Diceros bicornis minor: one gene and its partners. The protein of the gene in region 4 interacts with the protein of the main gene of each other region in a biochemical or structural test. Links are inferred from orthologs where the notes say so. Each region holds a gene or a part of one and is shown on either strand. Other genes may lie near its edges. The genes, in order: UBE2K, SNCA, ubiquitin-conjugating enzyme E2 E1 and NEDD4L.

What was found.
Region 1: the proteins of NEDD4L (region 4) and UBE2K form a complex in vitro, tested with the Homo sapiens proteins (2 studies listed by BioGRID). The link is inferred for Diceros bicornis minor from reciprocal best matches to the Homo sapiens genes NEDD4L and UBE2K.
Region 2: of the proteins of NEDD4L (region 4) and SNCA, one has a biochemical effect on the other in vitro, tested with the Homo sapiens proteins (3 studies listed by BioGRID). The link is inferred for Diceros bicornis minor from reciprocal best matches to the Homo sapiens genes NEDD4L and SNCA.
Region 3: the proteins of NEDD4L (region 4) and ubiquitin-conjugating enzyme E2 E1 form a complex in vitro, tested with the Homo sapiens proteins (2 studies listed by BioGRID). The link is inferred for Diceros bicornis minor from reciprocal best matches to the Homo sapiens genes NEDD4L and UBE2E1.

Annotation. Positions count from the first base shown.
Region 1 is NC_080747.1:32,620,452-32,627,654, reverse strand, and holds the start of UBE2K (ubiquitin-conjugating enzyme E2 K), read right to left. Parts: upstream 3,013-7,203; 5' UTR 2,830-3,012; coding exon 2,767-2,829; intron 1-2,766. UniProt on the Homo sapiens protein: Accepts ubiquitin from the E1 complex and catalyzes its covalent attachment to other proteins. In vitro, in the presence or in the absence of BRCA1-BARD1 E3 ubiquitin-protein ligase complex, catalyzes the synthesis of 'Lys-48'-linked polyubiquitin chains.
Region 2 is NC_080747.1:73,699,784-73,707,788, forward strand, and holds the start of SNCA (alpha-synuclein), read right to left. Parts: upstream 3,003-8,005; 5' UTR 2,944-3,002; intron 1,459-2,943; 5' UTR 1,429-1,458; coding exon 1,308-1,428; intron 1-1,307. UniProt on the Homo sapiens protein: Neuronal protein that plays several roles in synaptic activity such as regulation of synaptic vesicle trafficking and subsequent neurotransmitter release.
Region 3 is NC_080741.1:28,971,225-28,979,048, reverse strand, and holds the start of ubiquitin-conjugating enzyme E2 E1, read right to left. Parts: upstream 3,014-7,824; 5' UTR 2,863-3,013; intron 1,764-2,862; 5' UTR 1,731-1,763; coding exon 1,579-1,730; intron 1-1,578. UniProt on the Homo sapiens protein: Accepts ubiquitin from the E1 complex and catalyzes its covalent attachment to other proteins. Catalyzes the covalent attachment of ISG15 to other proteins. Mediates the selective degradation of short-lived and abnormal proteins.
Region 4 is NC_080755.1:49,427,547-49,434,629, reverse strand, and holds the start of NEDD4L (E3 ubiquitin-protein ligase NEDD4-like), read right to left. Parts: upstream 3,017-7,083; 5' UTR 2,691-3,016; coding exon 2,643-2,690; intron 1-2,642. UniProt on the Homo sapiens protein: E3 ubiquitin-protein ligase that mediates the polyubiquitination of lysine and cysteine residues on target proteins and is thereby implicated in the regulation of various signaling pathways including autophagy, innate immunity or DNA repair.

The DNA of each region.
Region 1 (7,203 bases), on a different chromosome or scaffold from region 4:
TTTTATTTCAGTAAATAACAAATTCACGTGACTCAAAATTCAAAAGGGATCTGCTGATGCCTGTTGCCCTAGACACCAAATCCTCCTACCAAAAGCAATCAATTTTACCAATTTCTCACTAATCTTTTCACCTATACAAATACACAGATTTCCCCCCTTCTGACACAAATGACAGCCTCCTCCACACTATTCTGCATCTTGCTTTTCACATTCGATTTATCTTGAAGCTATATTTTAATTAACTCCACACTCCAAGAATGGCCACTTACAACTTCTTATGGCCAGAATTCAGCAAATATCAGCTATCTTTTCAAAAGACTTAAAAGGTAAAAAAAAGTCCATAAATCAACCCTTCTTCTTAGTAAACACAAACATATAAAATAAACTTTGGTAAACTGGAGATTTACATAGGTGACATGATGAAATACTTGATTACTTGACCAGCCATTCAAAATACTGCATTTACATTCTTAAAAAGGAAACACATGGACTGTACTACAAGTCCTTCAATGAGTTGAAAATAACCAACATAAACCATTTATAGAACTGGGCCTACTAAAACAACGATGAAATAAAATATTGATGAAAATAGAGCTATTTATCGGTTACATTCCAAGATTAAATTATCTAACCCTCTCCTAAATGTTCTTTGCAATTTACTTTCTGGAAGAGTTTCCTTCCAGATTTATAAAGATATTGTTCTTAAAAAATAATTTGTCTGTTTGCATTTCCTGTTTCTACCTCTAAAAAACACTATGACATTTACTTGAAGCAAGGCTTCATCATCCCTAACATATTAAGAGCAGTATTATTTTAACAATATGCATTACTAGAGCAATACAAGATTTCTTTTAAGCTTCAAGTTAAGTACCAAGAATATGATGGTGAAAAGTCACCTCATATATAGCAGAGACGAATTATGAGAGCAGTAACTTGACCACTTTCAAGTAACAGAAAATAAAGCATTAGAAGTCTTATTTTAAGTTTCAGGCTTGTACAACGTTATAAGAAATGTTTTAGGCTGTTGGTAACAATATTAGCTACAACTGTCATCAAGAATATATATGTCTACTATCCTGGAATATATTTTCTTATTAAATAAGTTAGAATTATTGTTTCACTGATTATCAGCACAGACATTTATGACTCTGTTTTTGCACTGTACCACAAAAATACAAAGTCATCCTTCCATTCAGAGTTTTGGCACTTGGACAAATACAGAGGTCAGAGTTCATACACATGCTCTGTAAAACGGACCATTACTTATATACTACTACATTCAATAAATCTGTCAGTATTTGTCATTTTTCAATAATTTTAAAGAATTATTCTTTGTCTAATTGGAAAGATACATAATCACTGTAGATTCAGCAGCACAAATAAAGCTCAAGTGCTATCAAACTTATGTCAATTACTCATCACATACTTAGAATGCTGAATTTCACAAATCATTGAGATTATCAAAGTACCAACATAAGAGAAAAATACAAGTAGCAATGATACATTCAATAATGGTATGTGACATCTTGAAAAAAATAACCATTTCAGTATTACTTCTTAATCTTTGTTAAATCCAAGGAGGAAAAACAACCTGACATTATTGTTGATTTGGGTATGAAAAACTGTATTGATGCTTGCACAATTTTGAATCAAATTACTAGAACATTTTGAATATCTTATATAAATAAATGTGGTCAACGCTAGAGTATTTAAATTCTGCAGGACTCAAGAGCAGCTTGAGACAAAAAAATTTTTTTTTAATCATTTCAGATACGGTATCTTGGGATAAATCTACTCACTTAATAAAAAGATATAACAATGTATTAATCTGGTGAAATCCCATGTTTTTAATATGGCTGTTTTTCAAAAGTAAGAATCAAGTTAACTATGAGGGACATCATAATGAAGTTTCATGGCACGACACAACAGAGTCACAGAGGCATTGTCTTAGGAGAGACTCTGATCGGTAACTTGTAAACAATATTTTGAAATAAGCTACTCATATACTGTTATTTTTTCCTAGCTAAAAATATTTAAACGTTTTTAATACACCAAACAACTGGCCTTTACCCAGTCAAAAAGCTTTAGACGTCAACAGAAAAGAGGCCTAGGAATTGGGGGAAAGTGCAAATAAAATAATGCTCTAATTTGGAATTAATTTCCTATCTCAGGTGAAAATTCCCTTATTCCCCACTCAAATAAGATAGTATCCCATCATGTCTCCTCTTCTCTCCCAACATCCAACTAAGAGGGAGTAACTCTGAATGTCCTCCTCCTTTCATCAATACCTAAGGACAGGACAGTGGAGGCCAGACAGGCTATATCCCAGAATACCCTTAAAAGTGTGGGCCTTTCAGCAGCGCGGCTCTCCGGATCCAGTTACCACCTTTCCCCTTCCCCCAACCCACTTCCCGGGTTTTCTCAGGCTCGGCCTGCTCCCTCCCCACCCTACAGCCACACTCCCAGCTGTTGCCACAGCCTCGGGGCTCTCTCTAGAGCTCACATCCCGTAGAAAAGTGCCCTTCTCCATCCGCCCCCCCAAACCGGGTTCCTCTCCAGACCACCCGCCCGCGAGACCGTCCATCCCAGGGCCCTAGGAGGAGAGGGGAAAGCGGCGGAAGGAGGGGGAGACTGCCGCTTCCCCACAGGCAGAAGGGCGGCCACAAGGAGGGCGACCCGGGGGTTACCGGGAATACTGGGGTCGCCGCCGGAAGGGCCCTCCCGCCCAGGGCTGAGGTGGGGGATGTCCGGGAGTTCATTTCTGACCTCCTCGCTCTTCAGCACCTCCTTGAACTCCCGCTTGATTCGCTGCACCGCGATGTTGGCCATGTCTCCGCCCGCAGCTGATTCGTACCCGCCTCCTCCGCCACCGCTACGACCACCGCCACCGCCGCCACCGCTTCCTCCACTGCCTCCTCCCTCGGCGATTCACACCCGAGCACACGAACGCTGCCACTGCCACCCTGGCCGCCGCGCTCTCCTCAATGTAGAATCACCTCCGCGCCCGGCCACCAAAATGGCGCCGGGTCCGCGCATGCGCAAGACGCTGACCCGGCCGGGCGACGCAGCCGCTCCCGTTGTAGCCCCATACGCCTCGGCCGCGAGCCCGCGCCGCGCCGCGCCGCGCGCCACTGCCCGAGCTGCGGCCGCGTGGCTCCGCCCTGCTGGCGTCTGGGGCCAGGAGGGTGCGGCTTGCGTGCTGACCGGCTCTGCCGGGGCCTCCCGCGGCCTCTCCCGCGCCTCCGCCCATCTTCAGACCGGTGCGTTGTTGTCCGGGCTTCCAGCCCCTAGCCTCTGACCGAAGGCTCGGGTCCAACCTGACGGGTTCACGCGGCCCCACTTGTCTTGCAGCGCCGTCCTGACTCCCAGACCCAAAACTTCGAGGTTTGATGTGGCCGGCTGTGTCTAATGTACGAACACACTATCCCAGAACTCAGTCCGGCCCACTTTCTGTTGGTATAGGCCCAGAAAATCCGCTGCGGTCAGTGTTTGCTCTGAAACCATTGTAGTGTCACTATTATTATGGTCATTTAAGGTACTGCAAATCACTGAATTAAATATGGTCATTGTTGGGTCCTATCGGGTGTATTTGAGACGAGTACTCCATGAAGATGCCTGAAGTGGGTTTAGAAGCCAGATGTTGATCTTTGACCTACTTAGATAACTAATACCAAGCCGTGGAACTAAAACCATGGTTCTTAAACTTGAGTGTACATCAGAATCCCTGGAGAGCTTGTTAAAAAAACAGATTGCTGGACCCTATCCATAAAGTGTGGGGTGGGCCTAATTTACATTTCTAACAAGTTCCCAGATGCTGGCTGCTTCTGAGAACCACTGAACTAAGGCATGTGAAGGTAGTTTATGTATTAAAGTGAAAAATGGAGAAATAGTTGTTTCTTTGGGGAGAAGGGTAGCTTTGCTTCCGAAGCCTAGGGACTACAACGGTGTCTAGCGCTAGTAGGCACTCAATAAATATTGAATGAATAAATGAGTAAAGATAAAAGTAAAATGTTTTAAGAGGAAAGTAAGTTTGAAAGGCAATTGAAAAGTAGTTTCTAGGGTTTACAGTAAATAATATGGTTTTGGTGCTGAGAGGTACTTCGAATAGAACATTTTGGAATAAGTAATAAAGTTTATATTTCATGCACTTCTTTCACCTAACCCATCAGTAAAGTATCATATTAGAAAAATATCACAAATATATAGTCGTAGCAAAAATTTCTAAAATTGTGGCAGCAAAAAAGGAAATAGCCCCTGGTGTGAATCATCAGTGGAGGCACATGGCAAAGAGTTTCTTGAACTCCTGCCACGGGGACCAAGAGTGGATTTTTGATTCCAGCTCTCCACCATGCCAGCTTTCTTGGCCAACCTTGGTTTCCTCATCTGCAAAATAAGGAAGCTGGGTTAAATAGATGATGTCTTTCGAGTTTTAAGAGTTCAGAATTCTAAAGCATTATCTCGAAACATTTCGCTGAGTGGACTAACATAAATTATAAAAACCCTTCCAGCAGAGCCCCCTAGTGGTCCCAACAGGAACCAACTATATATGTGGGTCATGGTACGAGTTATTGGTATAATGTAAATCATGCAATGATACATATCTGTATTTGTGCCAGTACATTAAAAATAATTATTCTGAAGTGTGCAAAGAAACTTTTTGAGTACGTTACATTTATAACCTTCATTCAGTTCCCAGTCTTAATCTTGGAACTTCAAAGAAGCTTGCAACACTCAAATCACAGGGGGGACTGCTAAGAAGGGTATGGTAATTTCTTTGGGGAAGAGGGGTTTGGTAATTTTTAAATGCACATAATCATTGGCCCTGAAATTCTGCTTCTAGGGAGTCATTCTGCAGTCCTTCCAGAGGATGAGGCAACTGCATATTAACTGATATGAGACAATCCTGAAAATACATTTTAAGGGAAAAAAGCACTTTGCTAAATACCCAATGTGGTATCCTGGATTGGACCCTAGAACTGAAAGGACATAAACTAATGAAATCCGAATAAATTTTGTAATTTAGTTAATAGTATTGAACCAATGTTAATTTCTTAATTTTGACATGGTACTATGGTTATGTAAGATGTTGATATTAGTAGAAGTGAGTAAACAGTATACAAGAATCTCTGAAACTTTTCTGTAAATCTACAACTATTCCAAAAGAAAAAGTTTACTTTTAAAAAAGCACTATGCAGTCCATAATGTGTATAATATGCCACCGTATGCGTGAGGGAAGAAAGGAATATTCTTGTGTATATAATGCTTGTGAATCCATAAAATATCACTGGAAAAATAGTTAAGAAACTGACAACAGTGGTTGTCTCTGAGAAAGCAACTTAAGTGCCTAGGGGAAGGCAAAGTGGGAGACTTTTCACCATGTATCCTGTTGTATATTTTACCTATTCAAAACTAAATTTTTTAAAATGGGTTTCCAGTAATGCAGATTATAAGCTCTTCATTATTATGATCTAGTTCTGATTGATTACTTAATTAATTAAATATGTATTGAGTGCCTACTATGTGCCAGGCATGATCTAGACCCTGGAGGCATATCAGTGAACAAGAGACAAAAAAAACCTCTCAAGTTGTAAGATTTACATTCTGGCAGGGATGAGAAGAATTCATCTCAAATATAGTCTGCAGACACCTGGGTGTCCGTAAGATGTTTTCAGGGGTCAGTCTGCATTGCCCAAACTATTATCATTATAAAACTAAGACATTATTTGCCTTTTTACTGTGTTGACACTTGTACGAATGATGTAAAAGCATACTGAGCAAAAACAATTACTGTACTACCAATAATTTTACTAATGCCACACACTCACTATTAAAAAATGCCAGTTCCACTTCAAAATGTCTTTGATGAAGCAGTAGAAATTATTAATTTTATTAAACCTCAACTTTCAAGTACGTCTTCTTAATGGTCTATGTGATACTTGGGAAGGATACATAAGGCCTTCCACTGCATACCAAAGTACATGGTAAAGCACTTGTGCAGTTGGTTGAGTTGTGAGCTGAACTAGCCACTTTTTTCATGGAACACCATTTTTACTTAAAATAACGATTGAGACAAACTATCTTTATTAAGAGTTGGGTATTTTACAGACGTTTTATCAAAAATGAACATGTGAGCCTGTCACTTCAAGGAAAACAACTGGCAGAATTTGTTGCCAATGATAAAATTCAACCTTTCAACTGAAAATTAGTTTTCGAAAACATATCTACCACTGTAACTTGGCAACTTCTCAATACACTTAAAGACATTTCTGATTAAATTGGTGGTGATAATAACAAATGTGATTGCTTGAAATTGTACAATGAAATGTGTCAAAATTTGGAAGATCTGCATAAACCATTGAACCAATATTTTCCAAGTGACCAGTGCATGATGTTACAAAATCACGCATGGGTAAAACATCCGCTGGAGGTTCAAGACGGGCCAATGGATTTTAATGTAACAGAATACCAAAAGTTCACTGATAACATTTCAGATTCTACATTGCAACTAATCTTTACAAAACGACCATTTGTCTTGATTTAATGTAATATTAAAGAAGAATATCCACAATTATCTGAAAAAGTTATTAAAATATTCCTTCCCTTTCCAACTATATTGGAGGCTGGCTTTTCTTCATATACTTCAATAAAAACAACATATGCAACATATTGAATGCAAAAGCATATGTGAAAATCCAGCTTTGTTCTGTTAAGCTAGGTATTAAAGAGATTTTGTTTTGGAAAATACAGTTATTTTCACTAAAGATATATTACTTACATAAGCCTGTACTGAGTTTATTATAGTTATTTATTAATATTTCAATAATTTCTCAGTTTTAATTTCTAACACAATGTTGTTTAACCCACATGAACAAATGCTCTTTGGAATCCTCAATATTTTTGAAGAGTATAAAGGAGTCCTGAGTATATTTGAGTATACAGTACTGCTTAGACACGAGAGTTAAATCTAAAAAGTCACACCCTTTCAGAATACATAATTTACATAAACATTATGTATGTGAAGTTGTAAAATTGGTTTTAGATGATGAAGGAAAGTTAATCTGGTAACTCTTCTGCTGCCCCTAACAGAACAATGTGTTTTGATGTGTTGATTCACATTCAAAAAAATGCAACAAGGCGTAATAGGGCTTTGCTGACCCCTGATAATAACTGCCAACGTTCGAAATGTGCGAGTCTTCCTTTTTG
Region 2 (8,005 bases), on a different chromosome or scaffold from region 4:
TGGAAAACAGGACAAATATAAAGATACAGATGATCTGCATGTCACTGATTCAGTAGTTCAAATTCCATCTAAAAAGTTATCATTCACACTTCACAAAAACACTTGAAATTAACTCATCAATTTTCTTCCTCTTGTAAAACACTTTGATGATTTTCTGAAAAAATGTTTCAAGATAGAGAAAGAGTAATCTAACTGAAGATTTGTAAGATCAAGTCAACCTAAAAAGAGTCTATGAACAGTGAGAAAAAAACAATAAAAGAAGCATTCATAAAAATCATTCCAAGTATACCCTTTCTCCTGCCCATCTACGGTGGAGAGAGAGTGTAGCTTCCTTTCACCCCACAGACGTGGGCATAGCACCCTATGGCACGCAACGTGCCCCTCCTGCACCTTCCTGCTCATCCGGTGGCTGCTGCTGCTACAGCTGCCACCAGAGACCCTGGCAGAGCTCAGAGGAGCAGGAAGAAATAGGAGAGGCAGAATAGGCAGTGGGTGAGTGTGTGTGAGTGTATCCTTGTGGAGAGCGTGTGTATATCTGTTTGTCTATTTCTTCGCTAAAGAATTTGAAGTGGTTTGTAAAATAACATCCAACCTAACCTAACACAGTTCAAGATAAAGAAAAGATAGTCAGGGTCTGCATGAATACCCCCACGTGGGAATTTAGGAACAAGTAGAAAGGACAAGCATCAATCTCATTATTTATTGTGTGTGTCATTTAATAAAGGAGCTATATAAATGTCTCCGAGATATTAGTAGCAGCCTTCAAGCACTTTCTTGAGCTCTTAGACCCCAGCGTACCAAGTGGTCATAAGAAGTAACTCCACCAAAGACTCTTCTGTTCTTTCCTTTATAGGGTCACAGTAGGTCTCTTTTTACATATCCCAGGGCCATACCAAAGTTTAAAATAAGAATACACTAAAATTATCAAATATTATTCATGAGGACAAAAAAAACAAAGGCTCATGCACGATTTTGATTAAGAATAGTCTTGATTATTTTTAAAAGATTGAGTTCTAAAAAGTGTCCTTTGAAATATAGTCACTTAGCACAGAAACATTTATTAAAAAAACAAAGTCCTAAGTATTACTGCAAAATTAATCTGGAAAAACAAAAGATTAGCCCCACTTTTTACTATTAGCTCAAATATACACATTCACCTACCCACACATACCTCTGACTCAGTCCATCTTTTTGACAAGTGATAATACAAAAGTGAATCAAGGGAGAAATACCAGCATTTAGAGTATCAATCATCCTAACCCATCAGCCATAAATAAACATGAAAATGACATTTGGGGCTTACCTACCTACATAGAGAACTCCCTCTTTGGTCTTTCCTGCTGCCTCTGCCACACCCTGTTTGGTTTTTTCAGCAGCAGCCACAACTCCTTCCTTGGCCTTTGAAAGTCCCTTCTTGATTACATCCATGGCTAATGAATTCCTTTACACCACACCACACTGGAGAATACAAAATACACTTTGAACGAGAATTCTTGCGTAAAACAAAACGAAATTAGAAGTACCCAAGGTGAAACCCACGGAAAGATCAGTAGAACAAAAGTTCGAGACTCTTTTAAGTGCACCCTTACTTCAGCCATTGGACAAAGAAGCCTTTTTTAGCTTTTGCATTAAAAATTTAGCATCCCCCATCCATCTTGGCTGGTAAAAGTCTAGTCCCCTAAACACGGATTAGAATGAATCACCGGAGCTGTTCTAATTTTGCATTTCCTGAGTGAGTTGCATGAAAAGATGGACCCCCTCTTTCAACTTGCCAGGGTCCAAATGGTGACATTACAAGTTAGAAGTACGTTTAAAAGACACATCACAGGAAAAGAAAGGGAGCTGGAGGCATGGGGTCAGGGGCACTCTTAAAACGAATCCCAGAAAAGGGCTAACAGGTTGATCATGGAGAAGGGAGGGAAGAGAACTACTCACTCTGGGTGTGGCTGCACTTCAGGCCAACTGCAGCCCACCCGCCCTCGCTCTAATCCACCCGACCATCCATCCCCGCCCGCAGCTATCTGCTCTGAGCAGGCGCTAGTTCACACCCGCCGGCCGTCTCCAGACGCGCGCCAGCCGCCCGAGGGGGCGTTCTCAGCGCACGTGAACCCGCTACCCACCCGAACCTGCACCTGTTAACCCCTTACCACCTGTTGACTTGCCCTCTCTGCACTTCCATTTAATTATCTGCTAAACACAGCTTGTTTACTTTACAAAGAGAACCGAGAGGGCGGACTGGGATTTCAAGTAAGAGAGAAATAAAAGTTGGACGCTCTCGTTCCACCTAGCATCCTCGCGTTTCCCAAAGGAAAAGCGTATCCGGGAGAAGCCTGACCTCTCAGCCTCTGAGGACGAGAAGAGTGAAATACCGGAACAGGAGGAAAGCCAGGGCAACTTACTTTCCTCAAGCTCACCAAAGGGATAAGAACCCACCTCCGAGACTTGACACAGCGGGTCCTCACTGCAGCCCCCTCCCCCCCACCCCACCCCCGCCCCCAGGCGTCCACAATGACTCCTCTCCCACCAGGTTTTCTCCAGGATTTCCAAAGCTGCCAGTTTAGATCCACAGGTACTTACCTGAGTCGCTCCGCTCCTCAGAACTCCGATTCCCCACCCCACCCCCTCTTTAAAAACAAATTTAAACAATTTCCAAATATTATTTAAATGGGAAGAGGGAGGATAAGGAGCGGACGGGAAGGGCGGAGGCGGTACCAGGAGAGGGATTGTCCCCAGAGGAGGCTGCTGTCAGCACAACCCGGCAAAGAGAGGCTGGGGGCGTGGGAGGCGAACCCGCGAACTGTCGTCGAATTGCCACTCCTCGTCCCCCGCACGGGAGGATCCGAGAGAAAGAGACAGAGGGTCGGAGGGGAAGGCGGGGAGAGAGCGCGAAGGATGCTAAGGGCAAGGCTCGGTCCCCGGGTCTGCTCTAAAACCAGCACACACCTCACCCCGCGTCGCCGCGCTCGGTCGCTCGCCCCCTCTCGGGTCCCCTTCCCGTCGTCGTGGTCCTCCTCCTCCCCTTCCTCCTCCTCCCGCTCCTCCGCTCGCCGCCCCCGCAGCTGATTTGTCAGCGCCTCTCCCCGCCCCTCGCCCGGCGCTCGCTGCTTTCCCTGCCGCGTGCACTTCACTCCTCTTCTCGGATGGGGAGGGGGGCGGGGAGAAGGCTGTACCTCCAACTCCAGCCGCCCGCCTGGGCCTGGGAGGCGGGAAATGGGGTGTCTTGCGCTTCACTGCAAGTTCAGGGTCACGGGGACTCTTGCGGGGATCGGGAGCGGTTAGGCTTGGGCTGATGGCTCTCTCTTTCCCATCCCCCGTCCTTCCCTGTCTCCGCCTTTCCCTCTGGTTCCTCACGAGGACCCCCACGTCAGAGCCAACCTGGGGGAGTGGGGGCCTGAGGGATGGACCGCCAAAGATAGAGCCAATCTCTCGGGGAGCTGCTGAAGAAGGCAGGCAGCTCAGGAAGGATGCTCACATCGGCATCGCCAAGAGCACGTTTCCCTCGGATCGCTGAAATTTGATTAATGGTCGTAGGAGACAACGTTAAAGGTGCTTTTGTTTAAATATCTGCCAGATTTTCGTTTGCTCTTAACCTCTCATGATCCCGACGGGGTCCCGCGGGTGGGGAGGAGAGTAGCAAGGATGAGTTACAGGTTGAGAAGGCAGGAGGAGGCTCGTCAAATCCTCTTCCCACCCCACTATCACCATTTTCTTTTCCACCAATCAGCGGCTGCCAGACGCCGATTTTTCCCATCAGCGGAACGAGGAATAAATATTCCCCAGCCGTCGAAACCAAGCAGCTATATACAGCTTTTCCTTCTCGAAACGGAATTTACTTTTCAGATTCAAGTGCCTGGATGGAGGAGACAAATCCAGCGTGGTTTATTTTCCCGAACCGTCATATCCAATTCTTTCTTCCATCCCTTTTGAAAGGGAGATTCTACACACCGCTCACCTTTCTGACTTCTGATTCACGTTGCCCTCGGAGCTGACACCTAACCCCATCCCACACACAGACATACGGGCAAACGCGCGCGCGGGCTTCAAGAAAATTTTTGCATTGCTTAACATATTTTCATCTCTTTCAGAGCTGGAGGGAAAACAGCTGTTCCTGGATCACACCAGAATGGAGAACCAAGCTCCTCCCTCTAACAGAATGCCTTTGCTTTCTTTGCCTGGATTGGGAGGATGATTTTAGCCCTGGAAGGGAAAAACAAGTCTTTGCTGTATGTTTTCATTTGTTTTGCGTTTATTTTTCTTAGGAAAAAAAAATGCTGTCCCTGATCCTTGCACTCACTTGGGTTCTGAAATTTGAGTAAAATGCAATTTAAATCTACAAAACCGTTTGAAACCAAAAGGGGCAGAAAGCAACTGTCTATATTGCTTAACAACTCCTTGCACTATTGTCTGCCCTTTTTACAAGTAGCCTTTCCAAAATGCTCAGACTGTATTTTGTTTCCTTGGGATCAGAGGAAGAAGGTTAAACTGGGAACTGGTTTGCTGTCTGGCTTTGAGACCTTGAACAAGTTATGTCCTCCTGTTCCGCTTTCTTTGTAAAAGGAGAGGAACCAAGATGACCCCTCTCTGTTCAACTTTTTATTATGGAAAATGTTCAAACATATCCAAAAGTAGAGAGTAAAGGACTCTCATGTGAATGTCACTTAACATCCATGATTTTTTAATGTATGGCTGATCATGTCTTATCTATATGCCCACCCATTCCCCATTTCTTATCACTGCCCTCTCTCCATTCTTTTTCACTAAATCTCAAGAACTACATATATCTTTTCATCTGCAAATATTTAGGCATGCATCCGTAAAACATAAGAACTATTTTAAAATAATGACAATAACTTTTAGATGGTCCTTTTAAAAATTGAAATATAATTTATGTATAGTAAAATACTTAGATCATAAGTGTTCTTTTAAACGAGTTTTGAAAAATCCGTGCAACAGTGTAACCCACACCATTCTGAAGATCTAGAACGTTTTCATCATCCCTGAAAGTTCCCTTGTGCTGTCGTAGTTGTGCATATTCTAGAATTTCATAAAAATGGAATCATACAGTATGAACTTTTCTCGTATCTGTCTGGCATCTTTCATTCAGCATAATATTTGTGAAGTTCATTCATGTTGCTGCATGTATCAGTAGTTTGTTTCTTTTTATTGCTACTAATAACAAATGTTTTCCTCTGTGACCCGTCACAAATATGTACCTTGATAGATTATTATGACAATTATTTAATTATTTCATGTAACATATTTATAGTTTAACAGAGACCTTCTTGAGACCTAGTGCTTTAAATCAAAGGGGCAAATAAAAGGACAGATATTTTAAGCCCCACTGCAGACCAAAGAGAGACTTATTTTGAAGCAGTTGTTACTTTTTGTGCTTCTTATAGCATTGCACAATTCCACAGCTTTACGCTTGGTAAAGGACTAATGTACTATACCATTTAATCACAACAAGTGGGTAAGATAAGTTTTATTAGGTATCTTTTATAGACAGGGAATCTGAGGCTCAAAGAATTTTGATAACAGCTCTTGAGTGGCAGAGCTGAGATAATCTAGCAGGAACTGTTCCAAAAGGCACAATTGTCTTCTGAATTGGCGGTTACTCTCTGGAACCTTACTGATTGGGTGTAGTATAGGATGAGAGGGAAAAAGTGGGACCCAGTTCTATTAGAAATAGTTTTCGAATTTGGATGTGACAATGAAAATGAAGAATTTATGTTATTATAAAACAGTACATTCATATTTGAAATTTTGCCTTTTCTATATCGGTAATTCTCAGTAGGGGAAGATGATTTCTCACCATCCAAAAAAAAAGAAAGAAAGAACTGTGAAACAACTTTTGTCATTTTGAATTATAATTCTGTTTTACTCTTCTTTTCACACCTCAAAGTGCCTTGCACACAACAAGCATTCAATAAACTTTTAATTACTGATAGTATTAATAGCGACATTTCTTATGTTCTACCTGCAGTTTCTTAGCTCTGTATTCTTAAGGAGACAGAACTACTCAAGAACAAAGAAGGGAATTGGAAGTTAATAAATATTTTTTTTCTTGTCATCATTGATTGACAGCATGGCCTTGAGTACAGTTTTAATCCTCTGAATATGACTTTGAAGTTTAATCTCATTGAATGGCCTGTACCTCACGAGGAGGATGGAAGAATAACTTACTGGGAAGTATTACTGATGTTCACATTTTGTTAATAATTGCTATATACATGTTTGGTTTTCATTTTGATAAATGAAATATACATATTTTGCTGCTCTTCAATACTATTGTTTTATCTGGGTTTAAAATAGTAATTTAGCTATAGATTAACATTCTATGAAATGCATGATTAATATTCTATGAAATGCGTGATTAACTTAGACTCTCTTTGTCTTTCTTCTCCGTAAAATAATTGATTTTTGACGCGTGCCATGCGGTAAGCTTCTGCTGCAGAACGGAATGGTGTGAAAAATAATGAAGCTGTCCATGACCAAGTGATTTAAGAGAGGGGAAGAACTGATTTAATGTGTTTAAGTGAGGAAAATACAATCTTTACTATCTTTGGATAATATTCCGTATTCGTTGTGAACACAAGGGGCAATGTTGATTCTTGGGCCACCTGTTTCTTGTTCTCTTTCTGAACCTTCCTCTCATCTTCTGCAAATGTATGAGAAACATGCGGTAGAGAGATCTTCGTAGGCTTCTCTTGTAATTTCGTAATGGACACAGAAGGGAAAGCTTAATGCACAGTTGGGATAGCATTGTGTATGATTTTGGAAAGCAGTTAAGCTTGAAACAGGGCAATAGGGTTACCCCAAAGAGAAATGAAGAGCAATGAAGAGGGAGTATTGTTTTCAAAGAATATTCTCTAATTTGACCCTATGGGCACTTCATATTGTTTCTACAATACTATAGGCAGAAAAAATAATAGACATTTATTCCAGCACAAGGTAATTTATCATATTTACTAATACTGTAGTATAGTCTCAACAATGTAGAATGACTATATATTGTGACCACAAGAAGTATGTAATGTGAAATATGTGAAATTCAATTGGATATCATTTTAAATATCCCTGTGGTTTTTGTGGTACTAAGAATATGAAGATATGCAAGATTCCAAGGTGAAAGACTTTAAAACCAGATACGAAAGATATTTAAATGTTTTAGGATCTAAACCATTCAAATGACTTTAGTATTAGAAGGAAAAACATATTTACGAGCTCAAAAAATGCACTAAACCCTGGTGAGCGTGGGAGACTTCTGAGAGTTGGGGTACTGGGTAGAAGTTAAATGCAGGGACTTAACAAGGCTCTACTACTTGGTAGCAGTTACTGAGAGAAAGCATCCAACCTCTCTAATCTCTAGTCTTCTCATCTATAAAATGGGGGTGATATTTTATTTGTCTTGTGTGGTTGTTGTAAGGAATAAATAATATGGTTCTTAGTAAAGAACCGAGCACAGTGGAATCTCTCAATACAAGTACCCATTATTAATATCTAGCCCCCATGTTTTAGGGTGCCCTAGGAAACACTTTTTTCCTTACAGTAGTTTTCAACATTATTCCCAGCCCTCAACAACCTCCCGTCCCACTGTTAACACACCTCTAGTGTCCGATGCCTCCCCATCAATAACTTTAGCTTACTATGGTAAGTAAAAAATTTCCAACCAGGGATGGAAGTTGTGGGGACACAGGATGGGGGTAGTTAGGGAGTGTTGATAGGGGTCGTTAATTTAAAAATCTGCCAATGTCTCTTTTCTCTCCTTAATGTGTGGATTGCAATAACAACATCACTCACAGCAATTTGCTTCGGCAGGTGAAGAAATATAGTAATAGTGATAGAATTAACATTTCACTATCTTTACTGACAGTTTTACATTCTTTGGACGTGGTTTCTTCAAAGTGGCGGTAGTGGAGCTATGTATGAGTTATGTTGATTTGCCAAGGGAGAAAAATTAAATGATACAACAAATGGTGTTCCAAGTTTACCAGACTTGTTGTGA
Region 3 (7,824 bases), on a different chromosome or scaffold from region 4:
GAAAAGTCCCCCTCTGTAATTTGCTGACATAAAGCAGACTATTTTATATTTGACGCCTGTGTCTTCACCCCTAAATATATTTACGTACACCAGGGATCTCCAGCAAAATATAAAAATACAAATGACCCAAAGCAAAATCCTGCCTTAGTCAGGTAGGGCCAAAAGCTGACCCAGCATGGATGAGGGAGCCCAGACGAGACAGATTAAGGGAGGCTCCATCCAAAGTGGGCAGAGAGATGCCAGATTCTGGGAGAACCAGCACAGGGATAACCAGTGAGGGCCGTTAGGACTCCTGGGAAGCTGAGATGCAATCAAACCAACCCTCTGAAAATGAGAACAATCTTGTACAGGCATCTTGCCACTTAACTCTAGACCTCTACACTATTTAAAATAAGCTAAAGTCACTCCTTCATCCGCCCACAGTTAGGTCACCAAAGCACTTTACCAACTTTTCAAATTTCAAGTCAGCAAGAATGACAGAAAAAACTTTCAAACTCCTAATTCCAGGCTCACTACTCAGTGGAAGAGCTCTAAATCCTCATATTCCATTTTATTTTACACTTTTTTAAGAAAGATATGCCTCTCTAACCCACCATTTGGATTCCTTACTGTTTTTCTGGTTTGCCACTTCAAAGTTTAATGACTGTCCACCTTAGAGCAGGAGGATTTATGAAAGGGTATGGGGGGGGGGGACGACCCAGGAATCTGCTATAGATTATTTTAAGGGTCATGGGGATCAGAGGATATTACTGAAGGATGATGGAGATAAAAAGTAGCTTCTTCCAGAGACATATGAGGAGAAGAATAAAGAAAAAGAGCCACTGCTTAAATTCAACTTGAAAAAAATAACACTAGTATAGCATAAGAGAAGAGGAAATAGCATGAAAAAGTGAGTGTCCCTGAAATTTGGTAAATTGAAGTTCTTGAAGAAAACAAAAAAGAATCTCCAAAACAACCTAGATTAACCATTTTACATCATTTATTGATTCATTTGCCTCAACTCTCCAAATCAGAAAAATCTCTTTAAAGGCCATCCAAAAACATCTGTCTCCACCTATTAAATTTTTTACCTCCCTAGTATGAGTTATTCCTTATGCAATTTGTGGAGAAAGCTCTGTTCAAAAAAGATGTATGTGCAACAGGTGAGGAGGAAGTCAGATGGTAACAGAATTCATTTTGATCGAGTTGTCTGGGCAGGCATTAGTAATTAAGTGGGATGACAGCCTTGGGGAGGGTCACAGATTAGTGATTAATAGGACAAGTAATTTGAAATCAGATTTGGGGGTCACTGATAAAAGTAATGAGGATTTTTACAAACTTCAGCAAGAAATGGGAAGAGGCAAGCCACAACGACAGCATGTGGGCAATGATTAAAAGAAAAAAACAGAAAAAGCAATAGAGAAAAACAGTTAGGGCTTCCAAGCCCCTTTTTTCATTTTTAAGAACACATAAACCTTGAGGAGCACTTAAGCTACCCTCATTGGGAGGCCGACCAAATGCACCAAGAAGCAGTTCGGAAAATAGGAAGCCTGTGGGGGGAAAAAATAAAAAAAAAAAAAGGGAGAGAGAGTACGGTACCTCTTGGCGCTGGTGGAGAGGAGTTTGGAGTTTTTGCTCATGCTGACTTTACTCTCCTTCTTCTTGGGGGTGTTTGTTTCTTTCTCGGTTTGCTGGTTGGAGGACGAAGATGAGGAGGAGCTGGTGCTGGCCCTCGAATCGTCATCCGACATAGCGAACCCCCCACCCCACCCCGCAAACAGCCCCTGCAGGGGGAGAGAAACAAAACAGAAACACATCAACCATGCAGCCAGTGTAAATACGGAACTCGGGCGCTGTCAGGAGGGCTCTGACCAGGGGTGCACCCGGCCGCCCACCGCCCTCCACTAGCTTTTCAAAGTCTTCAGGCCCATTAAGGCTTTTGCAAGTCGGACGCGGCTTGTTTATTTTTGGCCCCAAGTGGGGGACGCGGTGGGAAAACGGTCAGGAGCACAGCGAGCGGCCCCTCCCTCGCCCCCCGGGGCTCCCCTCGGGGCAGGGAGGGGACAAGCCGAGCGGGCGGGGGAGGAGGGCAGGGCGGGGGCGCGGGCACCTCGGCGGGGCAGGGAGGGAAGGTCCCGGCCAGCGGCCGGCCTCGGGGCCGTTTCTGTCGGCTTTCCGGGGGTCGCGGGGGCCGCGGCCAGGAGCGGAGTTTGGCGAGGTCGGGAAGCGAGGAGGGCAGAGAGGAGTAAGAGAGGAAGCCGAAACGGGGGGACGGAGGCGAGGAGCGGGTGCCCGGGTGGGGGAAGGGAGAGGCCGGCGGGGGGGCAGGGGCGACAAGGCCGAGGGCCCCCCGCGCCGCGCCCCGACGCCCCTCCCCGCCGGCCTGCCCCTCGGCGACCCGGCTGGGGCTGCGCGGCCGGGGCGGGGGTCCCGGGCACACGCCCGACTGCCACCCTGGTGGGGGGGTGCGAGGGGGGCCTCGGCCTCCTGCGCGAACGAATAACAATGAGCCCGCCCGCCCCGGAGGAGTTAATCCCCGCGGGCCCCCGCCCCAGGGGAAACGGGGCTCCCCCGACTCCCCCTCCCCCGCTCCCGGCCCCCTGGGCGGCCAGTGAGGGGCTCCCGGGGCAGCGCTGACAGTTCGAGGTACAGTGCCCCCCCCGCTCCCGACACGGGCGGCCCCCGCACCCCACGCGGCCCGGGGTCCCTGCCCATCCCCCGCGGGCGGGCCCCGGACCCCTGGGGCTCCCCGGCCCCTCTCCGCCCCCCCCAGCCCCGTGCCCGGCGGCCCGGGTGGCGCGGGTCGGGGGAGGCGGCGAAGGGTGTCCCCGAGGCCCGGCGACGCGGCCGGGGGGCGGCGGGCGGCGGGGGGGATCCCCGTACCTCTCTTTGTGTCTGGCTCCTCCGTGCCGCCGCGGCGGCTGCTGCTGCGGCTGCGGCTGGGCCTGGCCACTCGTGTCTCTCTCTCGCTGGGAGAGAAGCGGAAGTGCAGCAACAGCAACTATTAAACAGGCAATGGCTTCCCCCAGCCACACACGCTCTCACACACACCACTCCTCCTCCTCCTCCTCCTCGCCCTCACCCCTCCCCCACCCGCCCGGTCCCACCCACCCGCGCTCCCCTCCCCCTACACACCTCCGGGGGGACGCGAGGAGGGCACAGGGGACCCCGGGAAACCCTGCCCCCTCCCCACCCACACCCCCACCCCAGCGCCTCCTCGGGACGCCAGGGAAGGGGGCGAGGGGTGTGAATTTCCTCTCAAGTGGTTCGGGGACCTGGATCCTGGGCTGGAGAGGGGAAGCCGTTCCAAGATGGGGGGCGCTGGGAGAGATTGGAACTGTATGGAATAGGGGGGTCACGAGAGGAAGTTCTTTCCAATAAGGGCTTTTGGAAACGGGGGGGGGATTGGTAAATTGGGGGAAAAGATGGTAATCTGGTGGCAAGGACTTTGGACTAGAGAATGCGGCGGGACCTCCTCCTAATAAGTGATCAGTTTAAGGGGAAAAAAATCCCACAACAGGATTTTCCTTTGGGTTGACACTGGCTTCTCCCTCTGGCGATTTACCTGCTAGGAGCAGAGGTCGGTTTAGGCACGCCTGTTAGAAAATCCCAAACTAGGACTTTTCTGCTCAGGCACGTGCAATTTTACAATTTTAGATTCTTCCAGTCACTTTTTATAGAAAGTGGTGGTATTTTATAAAAGGGATACAAAAGATTTCGTGACAGGTAAAACCAACGTGTAACAGGCTTACAAATGTGAGAAATCACTGGGAATAAACCTTATACTACTGAATTATGATTTAGAATTTTTGGTGTCAGCTTACTTTAGAAAGTTTGGTTTTTGGAAATTAGATTAAAAGTTTTGGGGACTTCTGTACCTTCCTCAACTACAATATCAATGCTATTCAAATAATCAATATTTTTAGGTTAATCACTCAGTAATTCCTCTGAATTGTTCCTTATTGAGCATTTTTACCAAGATTAATTTTTTTAAGATTAACCCATGAAATTATGACTTAGCTTCTCACTTATTTGTATTTCGGTTGAAGGAAACTAAAGAGGTGTGTGTAATGCCACACATACAAGGTCTGGTACATTAAGGAGACCGCCCAGTCAGATTTCCATGGGCCACTCTAAATTATCTCAAATTGCCATCCTTTTCCATGGAAACAGTGGCTTCAGTTACCACAGGAGGACACAAGATATAAAGCCCATGGCATATCCACTAACCAGGAAAACAAACATTCTTACCACCCACCTAAACCCTTCTAGCCTTCAACATGAAACTCCAACTGTATCAAGATTCATAAAGTAATTGTGCACAATTCCTGCTCAGTTCTTACTGGGAAACCTGTATCTACCAGGAATTGTCATAGAATCAAGGAGTCCAAAGCTGGAAAAAAACCTTATAGATCATCATTTCAGCCTCCTGCCTCTTACCTCCAGTCAGAGCTATCACTCAGTCACTCAAATGCACAGAAATTGTGAAAAGATCCCCAGACATAAGTGTTTGGTTTCGGGGATCCTGGTAGAGCATATATAAATAATGACACTCCCTGATGTGTGTTATTTGAAAACAACAACAAAAATCTCCTTAAAACCAGGTTGTATACTCTTTGTACTTCGGATGAAAAAGATACAAATTCAAGAGAAAGCAATGAACAAACATGAAATAAACTCAGTTGAGATGAATAAAATAAAGACAGTTATTAAAATGGAAACTTCCTCTTATGAATATTTGGGTTTCTGATACTTTAAAATACACGTCAACACTATGAGTACAACCAGTAAAAAATCATATATGTATAAAGATGAGAGCTGGCAGAGAATACAGGAAAACAAAAGAGTTGACTTGCTGTTGTGACCAGGACAGTGGGTGAATTTTTCACTAATTTTGGTTTGCATAAATTGTATACTTGGATACTAACTCTAATAATATTTTTTTTAAAAACTGAACATGGTTATTTTGTGTTTCATTGTTGATGCTTGGGTTGGACTGGTCCCTGGGGAAATAAATCGTATAACCGAAGGAGTCCTCTTCTATAGGGAACTGCTTTCCCAGCCACCAGTCTGGAAGGCTACTGGCCCTCTTGTGTGCTAGTCCTTATCTCTAACCCTGGTTAGTGCTTTATGGTTTAGGAATGACCTACTGAGGGGGAATAAAAACCTCAAAATGTTTAGAAAAGAATCCATTGCTCTCAAAAGACTAATCTTTATGTCAGATTACTTTAAATATACAGTTGTCTCAGTCACAAAAAAATCAAAATTCATTTGCAGCCTTCCAGGTCTTCTTACTTATTAACTACAAGGCCTAAGGACCTAAAGTGACCTCTCTGACCCTCAGTCTCCTCATCTATAAGGGGCAAAAATACCTGCACCGTACTGACTGGCAGAGTTGTTAGAAGGATCAAATGTGTATCTATAGTAAAATGATTAATTAACTGTTATGCAAAGTAAATTATTAATAATCCCACCCTGATCCTACTGCTCAGGAATTTTGTCAGGACACAGGGTCTTTATGACTTAGAATTGATGACAAGTGTAAGAAACCTCCTAGGAGAAAGATAAAGTCAAGGAATCACAGGATTTTATTTACTCAAAGGGGCCTAAGATATCTTGGAGTTCAAACTCCTTATGTTCCAGATGAAGAAATTAAGGCAAAGAAAGCCAGTACGTCTCATCCAAGGTCATGCAGTAAGTCGGTGGCAAAATTGTGGCTATGGCCCATGCTGCCCACAGATGATTTTGTCAGTTCTGGCAATATTTAGGGGGTGGGGAAGAGCCTCAATTACATTAAAGAAAAATATATTAAATATAAAAGAACTCCAGTAATATTTTCAAGAACATATTAACAATCAAGACAGTTGGGAAAGTGGACAAATGGAACCAAGTTAAAGGAATCACTGATTTTATAACATTTACTTGAACCAATTAATGAACAATATTGATGTTCCTTACACCTCATTCTGAGAATAATAATCATTATTTCATATTTATGGATATATTTCAAGTAGGTAATACATTCTCATGCTATATTATCCTAAAGAAACCAAAGGGTAAGCCACGAAAATCTGCCTCTGCCCCTCCCCCCAACTCTGTGGTAGTCTATGCTTGCAAAAGCAAATGCATACGTATACACTGGATGCTTTGATAGAAATGCTCAATTTACATTTAAAAGATGCATTCAGTCACAGAAGCCCAAGTGGTGCAACACTGTGATATCTGTGGGCTTTAAGAAAATGGGCTTCAGTTTTTACTAATACCTATTCCTGATCTCAAAATGATCCAACTCTCTTCTTCAAGCCATCTTGAGAGTATCAAGTGCATTTAAGTAGGAGCACTTGAAGATCAAGGTGCTGACTGATCCCTAGGTGAAGTGATACAGTTGATTCAGAAGAAAGAGACCCCATCTAACTTTTGAGCACTCCTATTTTTGGCTACTTGCTTACACTGAACTTAAATATTTCATAAAAGCAACAATCCTCTTTGGGGCCAATTTCACATCCAAAGAATTGTCAAGCAAATTAACATTTGTTAATATGGGTTTTTAAACTTACCTTATGACTGGATAGAAAGGATTTCCTTTTTCTGTCAAAAGAAAAAAAATCTTATGTTTGGAATTTAGGAAGAATTTCTGTAAAGGTTTTCTGAAAAGATGGACTCACTGTGGATTTCAATCTACTTGTTTTATTTTCTTTTTTTTTTTTTGTGAGGAAGATCAGCCCTGAGCTAACATCCATGCCAATCCTCCTCTTTTTGCTGAGGAAGACCGGCTCTGAGCTAACATCTATTGCCAATCTTCCTCCTTTTTCTCCCCAAAGCCCCAGTAGATAGTTATATGTCATAGTTGCACATCCTTCTAGTTGCTGTATGTGGGACGCGGCCTCAGCATGGCCAGAGAAGCGGTGCGTCGGTGCGCGCCTGGGATCCGAACCCGGGCCGCCAGCAGCGGAGTGCTCGCACTTAACCGCTAAGCCACGGGGCCGGCCCTTGTTTTATTTTCTGATGCTCCTTTGCCTGAAAAATTCATTCCTTATACGGAAGGATAAGGAAGGTTCGCAAAGAAGGGTCAATTCCATGAAGCCTAATGGGATCTGGGGCTTTTATCTTCAATTCGGGTCATTATTCCATAGGCCTTTTTTTAACACACTGATCTCTTTGAAGGACCCTAAGCGTTGTCAGACTTTATTTGTCCTGAAAGTTGCTATCACAGGAAGCTAGGACAGAGCTAAATTATTTTTTCTACCACATGGAGGCATTGAACAACCATGTGATTTTCAAAATTTACCAAGACTTGATAAGAGTCTAATGCTTTCTCAGGCAAGGGCAAAAAGGTTTGTTTGATGTTGACAAACGGATAATGCTTAGTATGAAAGCATTCTTCTCACCTTATAATTTAGCATCTGCTCTGTAGGGCCTATTCTCTAAACAAACCAGCCTTCTTCAGCCTCCTATACATTGATAACATAAGGACAGACTGTATTGGAATCTACTGGATTGCAGTTTGAGCAGTTTGGTTAGTCTCTGAAACCTTTTCTTGAACTTAACACTTTTTCTGTTTACTAAAATTTGGAGGAATGAAATAGTAGGGAAAAATTACTTTTATTTCACGCACTTAATTTATTGTGAAACTTTGTTTTAAATATCAACTTTCCCACAGTTCCATGGTGTGACAAATCTACAGTCAAGGATCCAGTTTTGAATCCAAAATTTACCTCAATAATTGCAACCCCAGAAGCAAGTGGCAGCAAAGATACTAATCTTGACTTGCTAAGCCTATATGACGAATTCTTTCTTTACACCCGACAGTACTCACGTCTCAGCCCCAAAACAATTAATCAACAA
Region 4 (7,083 bases):
CACACAATGCTTTTCATCAACCTCCGATGAAAACACAAACTTACTTTTAAGAAATTTGCTAGCTATGGATGCCTATTTTGCTTAGACATTTATAAGGTGACTCTTCTATATGGTGATCAAAATACCTTTACGTGTGACGTTCCACAGAGCGTGAACTGAAGTGCACCTATATTTAACGCGCCTTGGAAAAACAAGCCCGCCGTTTGTCTCATCAGGCATTCTACTTTAAAAGCCTGTTAAAATCTTCTGTTTGTTTTCTTACAGAGACTAATTCAGGGAGACAAACCAAGCTGTGCAAATTCAACAATTTGTTGTTAATATTCTACGAAGGTATTCCCTGATTTTCCGAAGGGCACCCTGACAGCATGAAACCTCCCATAAAAAGCAAAGACCATAAAAATGTGCAATCATCAAAAAAGCCCTGCCTTATTTTTTTCACTGGTAGGAGAAGCTGAAAAAAAGGAAGCGAGATGTGACTTGTCTTTTGTAATATAATGGGTGTGCAACTAATGAGTGCCAGCAACATAGCAATCACTCAATCAATAAAATGTCTTCATCATCTCTTGCTAGTCCCTATTCAGCCCCAAATACCCCTCCAGCAATATGTAGGGGTGAACCCAGTCATATACAAACACAAACACACACACACACACACAGATTCTGTTCATATTCCATCCTTCACTTTTACACTAGACACCAGGTAAGATCAGTATTAACTCATCCAAAGTGGCAAGCTGCATTCTAGATAGATTCTTACACTAGTCATAAATGTAAACAAAGAACAAACAACAGACACACAGGGGATTCATTTACCCAGTTACATTTCCCAAAACACTGTAAAATATATTTCTTTCAGAAAGCTTTTAAAAATAATCATGTAATAAAAAAAAAGACCTAAGATAAAATGCAGCTGACTTCATGGCGCACAATACCTCAAGTCCTTTGTTTAGCTATGTCTGCATCTCAGCACCTTTCTAAAAGCTCACCCCTGCCCTCTACTAATTAAATGGAGAAGTAGAGAATGAAAGAGCTCCTCAAAGAGAAGCCAGGGAGAGAAGAACCCCCTGGGTAAATGAAACAATGTTACTTTTCACACATCCCCAGGTAACTGCACATAAAAGGGAAATTATTTTACACAAGCATGGCAAAATAATCGAAAATGCAAATCACACATTATTTGCATTGTGATCATTCTTTGATAAAATAAATACCACGGCAAGCTTTACCTAGAACCGTTAAGAAAAAGAGTCAATCCACCAAACACCCTCCCCACCCTAAGACACCTACTCCATTACACACTTACATAGCACACATACACATACATACACACCATACCGGAGCAGGCAAGCGGGTGACAGAGGAGCCATAACGTGGGCACGTCTCAGATAATAGCCTCTCCATTAACCCCACCCCCATCCCCACAGAAAGAGGGGGCCCGAGAAAAGAAAGAAGGAGGAAGAAGAAAGTGAAATCCAGAAATCCTTAAATTTCCAGGCACCAACTTTTCATGAAATGCACAACCAGGATAGGAAATACCTCCCTGCTGAGTAATGCTTCATAGGTTGTAAATTCACCTCTCGAAAGGGGAGCCAGACCTGAGCGCGCACCCCGCCAGATGGCAAACCCCTCCTACCTGCTCCATCCAGCCTGCCTGTCACTCCGCGCCCGCGACAGGCCCCCTACTCCCCTCTTCAGCAGAGCAACACACCAATAAGAGCCGAGCGTGGCTGGTCGAGAGAGGGCTAAGCAGTGAAATAGCAGGATCGTTTCAAAAGGGGGGAGTGGGAAACCGCGAGGAGAGTGAGGATGAAAACAAAGCCCTTTCCAGGCAAACCGACAGCCCTGGGGGCGTGGCTTACTTAATTTGCTTTATTAACAAAAAGGATCAATTGAGCTTTCGTCTCTCCACCCACCCCGGAGGTGCTGGGCTTTGAATCCTTGCGAGGAAAAAACTGGCAGGGCTGCAAGCTTCCTCCAACTTGCCAGTAGCACCTGCCACCATCCTAGACCTCCTCCCCCCACCAGAAAGACCCCGAAATCCACATTCCTGGCTTTAGACTGCAAGACAGAGGGGCAGACACACAGCTCCACGCGTTTCACCCACTCCCACGTGGCAAGCGCACACACCCAGCAGAGCACTTGCTGACACAATCATTAGAAAGTTCCAGGGGGAGACAATGCAGGTTCCTCCGCGGCCCCGGGCTCCCCCGCGCTGCGCGGGTCTCCAGCCGAGACCCAAACGTGGCACACATCATGGACTCCCGGGCTGCAGGGGCGAGAGGCGGAAAGTTGCCCAAGAGCCCCGGGAGACGCGGCTTGGAGAGGAGGGGGACACGCGGGAAGAGGGGCGCACGCGCCCTCCTCCCACCCAAAGGCGGGGAGCGGCCGAGTGAACCCCCCTGCTGGAAAGGCATCGCGCCGCTTTATTTACAAACAATGAGCTTGGCTGCGGGGGGAGGCGGCCGCAGGCGCCCGGCGGAAGGGCCGGAGCACCTCCTCCCCCGGGACTCCGCTCCCGGGCGGTCCCGCGTTTGGTGTTTCCCTACAGGCGCCGGGACGCGCGACCCAGGGGTCCTCACCCCCTGCCGGCGTGGGGCAGAAACTCCCCGGGGAGTCCGGGATAGGAAAGGGGAGCCGCTCACCTCGTCTTCCGAAAGTCCGTAGACCTGCTCCCCGAGCCCGGTCGCCATGGATCCGGCACCCCGCGCGGGATCGGAGGCGCTCGCGGGCGGCTGGGCTGCGGCGCGGGCGGCCGGGTCTTCACTCCTCCTCCAGGTCCGGCCGGCCCTGCGCGCGTCCCGCCGGGGGAGCCGCCGAGCGCCGGCAGGTGAGGGAGCCCGAGCGCGCGCGCCCCGGCCGCTGCCTGCGCCGCTTGCTCCTGGAAGGCTGCGGGGCCGGGCCGGCGGGCGGTCCCGAGAGCGCGCTGTGCAGCGGGCGGCAGCCCCGGCGCCTTTCCTGCGCGCGGCGGCGGCGCAGAGTCCGCCGGGCTTTCCCTCCTCGCGGCCCGCGCCTCCCTCCCTTCCTCCCCGCTCGCCCGCCGCTCTCCGCCCCTCTCCGAGCCTGCTCTCCGATCTCTGGAACCCGGCTCGCCACCCGCTCGCTCGCTCCCTCCAGGCCCCCGCTCTCTCCGCCCCCTCCTCCGCCTCCTCCCACCCGGCGCCCAGAGGGGACCCTCCCCGCCTCGCCGGGGCGGGCACACGCGCCCCCCAAGCCAATCACAGTCCGGGCTGGGGGGCGGGCCGCGGGCTGCGGGCCGCCGGAGCTCTGTCCCCACGCCCACCCCACCCCCCACCCCCGGCCTCCGGAGCGGCTCTTCAAGGCTCCCCCCGCCTCGGGGCGGGCCCGCCGCGGAGCGCCCGTGCGGACTTGGCTTTGGGAGCTGACCCACCTTCCTCTCCCGCTTTCGCTCTGCGTTGAGGAGGGGGCGCACTGGGCATTTGGGGGCGCTGAAGGCATTTTCCACACGCACAAAAAGAAACAGCACTCAGTCCATTCCTCTTCCCCACAGTCTTTTTACCAAGAGCCCTGAGCTCGCGGCAAGTGTTAAAGGGGGAAAGATGGATGTTTCTAGACCCCTTTAAATTCTTGGCACCCTCAGCCAAACCCGACTTAGCCGTTGTCAGCTTACCGGAGCTGATCCGCCTGGCCCGGCCGCCAGCCAGGGAGAGGCTGCCCCGGTGTGGCCGCGAGTCGCCACTGCCTCTGTCAACCTTACAGGCAACAAAACCAACACAGCGCCCGCCCTGAGTACACACCCACCCACTCGAAAACAGACAGCATGGTTCTTTAAATAAAAGGCAGCTCATTTGTGAGCCGCAACGTGAAATATCAGACTCAAGTTTAAGGTGATCCTCTGCATATGCAAACCATTAAGACGTCTTATTAGCCGCCGAAGGATTCTTCCCACATCCCAGCTACTGTTTCTCTAGCAAGTAGTTCATTTAATCTTTCAGATTTATAGGGATGATGGAAACTAAATAAGTGAAAGAAATTCGTCACTCGACTTTTTCAGGAAGACTTTCGTTAAATTGAGATGTTAAGTACAGTTGTGAGTTCAAAAAGAAAACAGAAGCAGAACATGCAATTTGCCTTTGAAAAGAAAACATCCAAGTGCCTACTTGCATATTGACAGGGTGCGTTTAGGATTTTCATTCAGGTAAATTAAGAAAGAACTCACATGATCCAAAAGAATCCTCCTGCCCAACCCAGCTACTTGACTAAATTATCCGCTGTTTGCCCAGCTAGACTGTTTGCAAAAGAAAAGGGGCACACCCATCCTAAACTCTCCTTTACTCCCCTACAACATTACTGTGGCTTAAAAAGTGTGCCATACGCCTAATGAGTTTCAAGACTCGGCCCCATGGAGTCAACACCCGACTCAGAAGCCTTCCTCTCTACAAATTGTGAGCCATTAAATCGACAGTACTTAGATGCCACAAAAGCCCAACTGAGAAAAAAAATCGTCTTTATGGAGATTTAAAAAGACAGGTCTCTGTTTATCCTTCCCAAGCGAAAAGTTTTTCCACCTTTTCAGACCTAGATTCTTTGTCTTTTGAGAAACAAAAGGTTTGCGCACGCGCACACAAACACGCGCGCAGGCATACACAATTCTAATACACTTTTCTTTACCCTCACTAGCCAGGCCTTTGTCAAACTTTGTACAGTTTATGGTATGGGGAAAAATGTAATAGATCTTTAAATTTTTCTAATAGAAAATTATTTCTAATTACGAAGGTCACCCCTTCTACTCCCTGGAAGTGCACAGTTCCAGGCTTTATCTTGGTTGAGGCCATATCATGTGGGAACTGCGAAGGTGTGTCCTACTTCCTCTCTCTGTCCTCTCTCCGTCGTTCCTGCTCCCACACCTCCCCCCTGCAACAGCGGGCACCTGCCTGCACTCTGGGCTTTCCCTGAGGGATGATTATTAGGAACTATAGTATGAAACCTGCCATGTGTCATTTATTGTAGGGGTTTATAAAATCGTGATCCGTAACATCTGTCAATGTCCCCTGTAAAAAGACTCAAACAAGACGTTTATTTCAGACCTATGAGGAAAAGCTTTCTTTCTTCCAAGGAACTGGTAAGATTTTGCATTGTGGATGACAAGAATTATGTCAACTGATTGTGTTTTTCTATTCGCTTTGGCCACCAGGAAACTCAGGACCAATTTTATGGCCTTAAGCCATAAAAGAACTCATAAAAAACAAAATCAATCTCCTGTGTAATTATGTACTGGCTTTCCCCCAGTGCAATGGTTTTCTACCCTGGATGTACATTGTTATCATCTGGGGGACTTTAAAATGACCCCGTGCCCAGGCGCCAGCATAGAGACTATATTTCATTGGGTCAGGGTGGGAGCACAGGCATCAGTAATTTCAGTAGCCTCCTAGGTGATGTTAATGTGCATGTAGAGTTGAGAATAGTGGCCTTGGCCAATGGTTCCCAAATTTTGCTGCACATCGAAACACCTGGGGATCTTTAAAACTACTGCTCTGTACATCCTACCCCCATATACTCTGATTTAATTGGTGGGAGGTGCCACGTGGGCATCAGGAGAACTAATCTTTTTGTATTAAAATAGCTAAGCTTTTTAAGAAACACCTTTTGAAGACTTATGTGCTGTTCATTCTATACTCTAAAATCTAATAAATTATCTGAGATATAGATACGTGAGTCCTATTTTTTCCAATCTGACAAAATGTTACTGGATACATACCCAGGTCCTTTACCAACCACACAAGAGAGGCCAAATAAAACTAGAACACCAGGCTTATGGCAAGGAAAGTTTTTATTTTGGGTGATGTCAGCCAGAAGACAAGAGCTCTCAAACTTGTCCCGTCTCCCCGAATGATGGGAGGCAAGGGGTTTTAAAGGTTGTGAGGGAGAGCATGTGCTGGGGTTTTAGGAAAGGGAGGGGGAGCATGAGGACGTGCTGGCTGGCACCTTCTCATCAGCTTGCATTTGACCTTGAAGACTGAATTTCTTTCCCTTGACTGTCTGGACTTTTCTGGTTAGTTTTCATCTTCAGCCTGTGTTTGGCCTTGTGAGACTAAATCTTGATGTCTGGACCTTGATTTCCTGGGAAAGACAGCTCACTCATATACTAAGGAGGGACAGAAAGACCTAGTTAGTTTTAAACAACAGTTGATTATGCTGAATATGCACAGCTGCAGTTAGCAAAGCTTATCTCCAAGTTTTTGCCCTCTTCTTCTAGCCCAGGGAAGATTTTTTAACCTCTTCTTGCTCGGTTTCAATCCCCATTGTCTTATGATCATTCCTCAATCTTGGGGAATGGGGGCGAAGACCGCTCTAGCTACTTCCTGCTGTAAAAGGTTGAAGATCAGGATCAGAGGAATGAAACTGTTTTACCTTTACTTGAAAATATTTTGGGCTGGCCCCATGGCTGAGCGGTTAAGTGTGCGTGCTCCGCTACTGGTGGCCCGGGTTCGGATCCCGGGCACGCACCCACGCACCGCTTCTCTGGCCATGCTGAGGCCGTGTCCCACATACAGCAACTAGAAGGATGTGCAGCTATGACATACAACAGCTATGACATACAGCTATCTACTTAGGCTTTGGGGGAAAAAAATAAATGAAATAAAAATAAACAAAAAAAATTAGAAAAAAAGAAAATATTTTGTGGTACCAGGTGGGGAGAGTGAGATATGCTTTGCATGACTAATATTTTAGTACTCTGATCAATGGCTTTGGAAGAATACTTAAGTTTACATTTTATAATTGCATAGATGACCACACAATCGCTATATGGCCACACATAGCAAAACAGACAGCCCAAATTTTAGTGTCCCCTCCATAATGGACCTCAATCCTTGGGGAATCTAGGAAAAGAAGCCTGTAAACCAATCAAGATTAGTGTTTAGAACCCCAGGTGAAATCTGATGTAGCCAAGTAGCCTGCTGCTGTTTATAGTCCAACAAATAAGGTAAGAACATTGGAGTCATTTATTACTTATCTTTAGAAGGCCGTTTTCTGAACAGCAACTTGCAGTGTGTTAGGGATTCACTTGACCATTCAGAGAAGTCAGTGTCAAGAGTATGAAGTCACCCAAGGTTTGGGTGATTC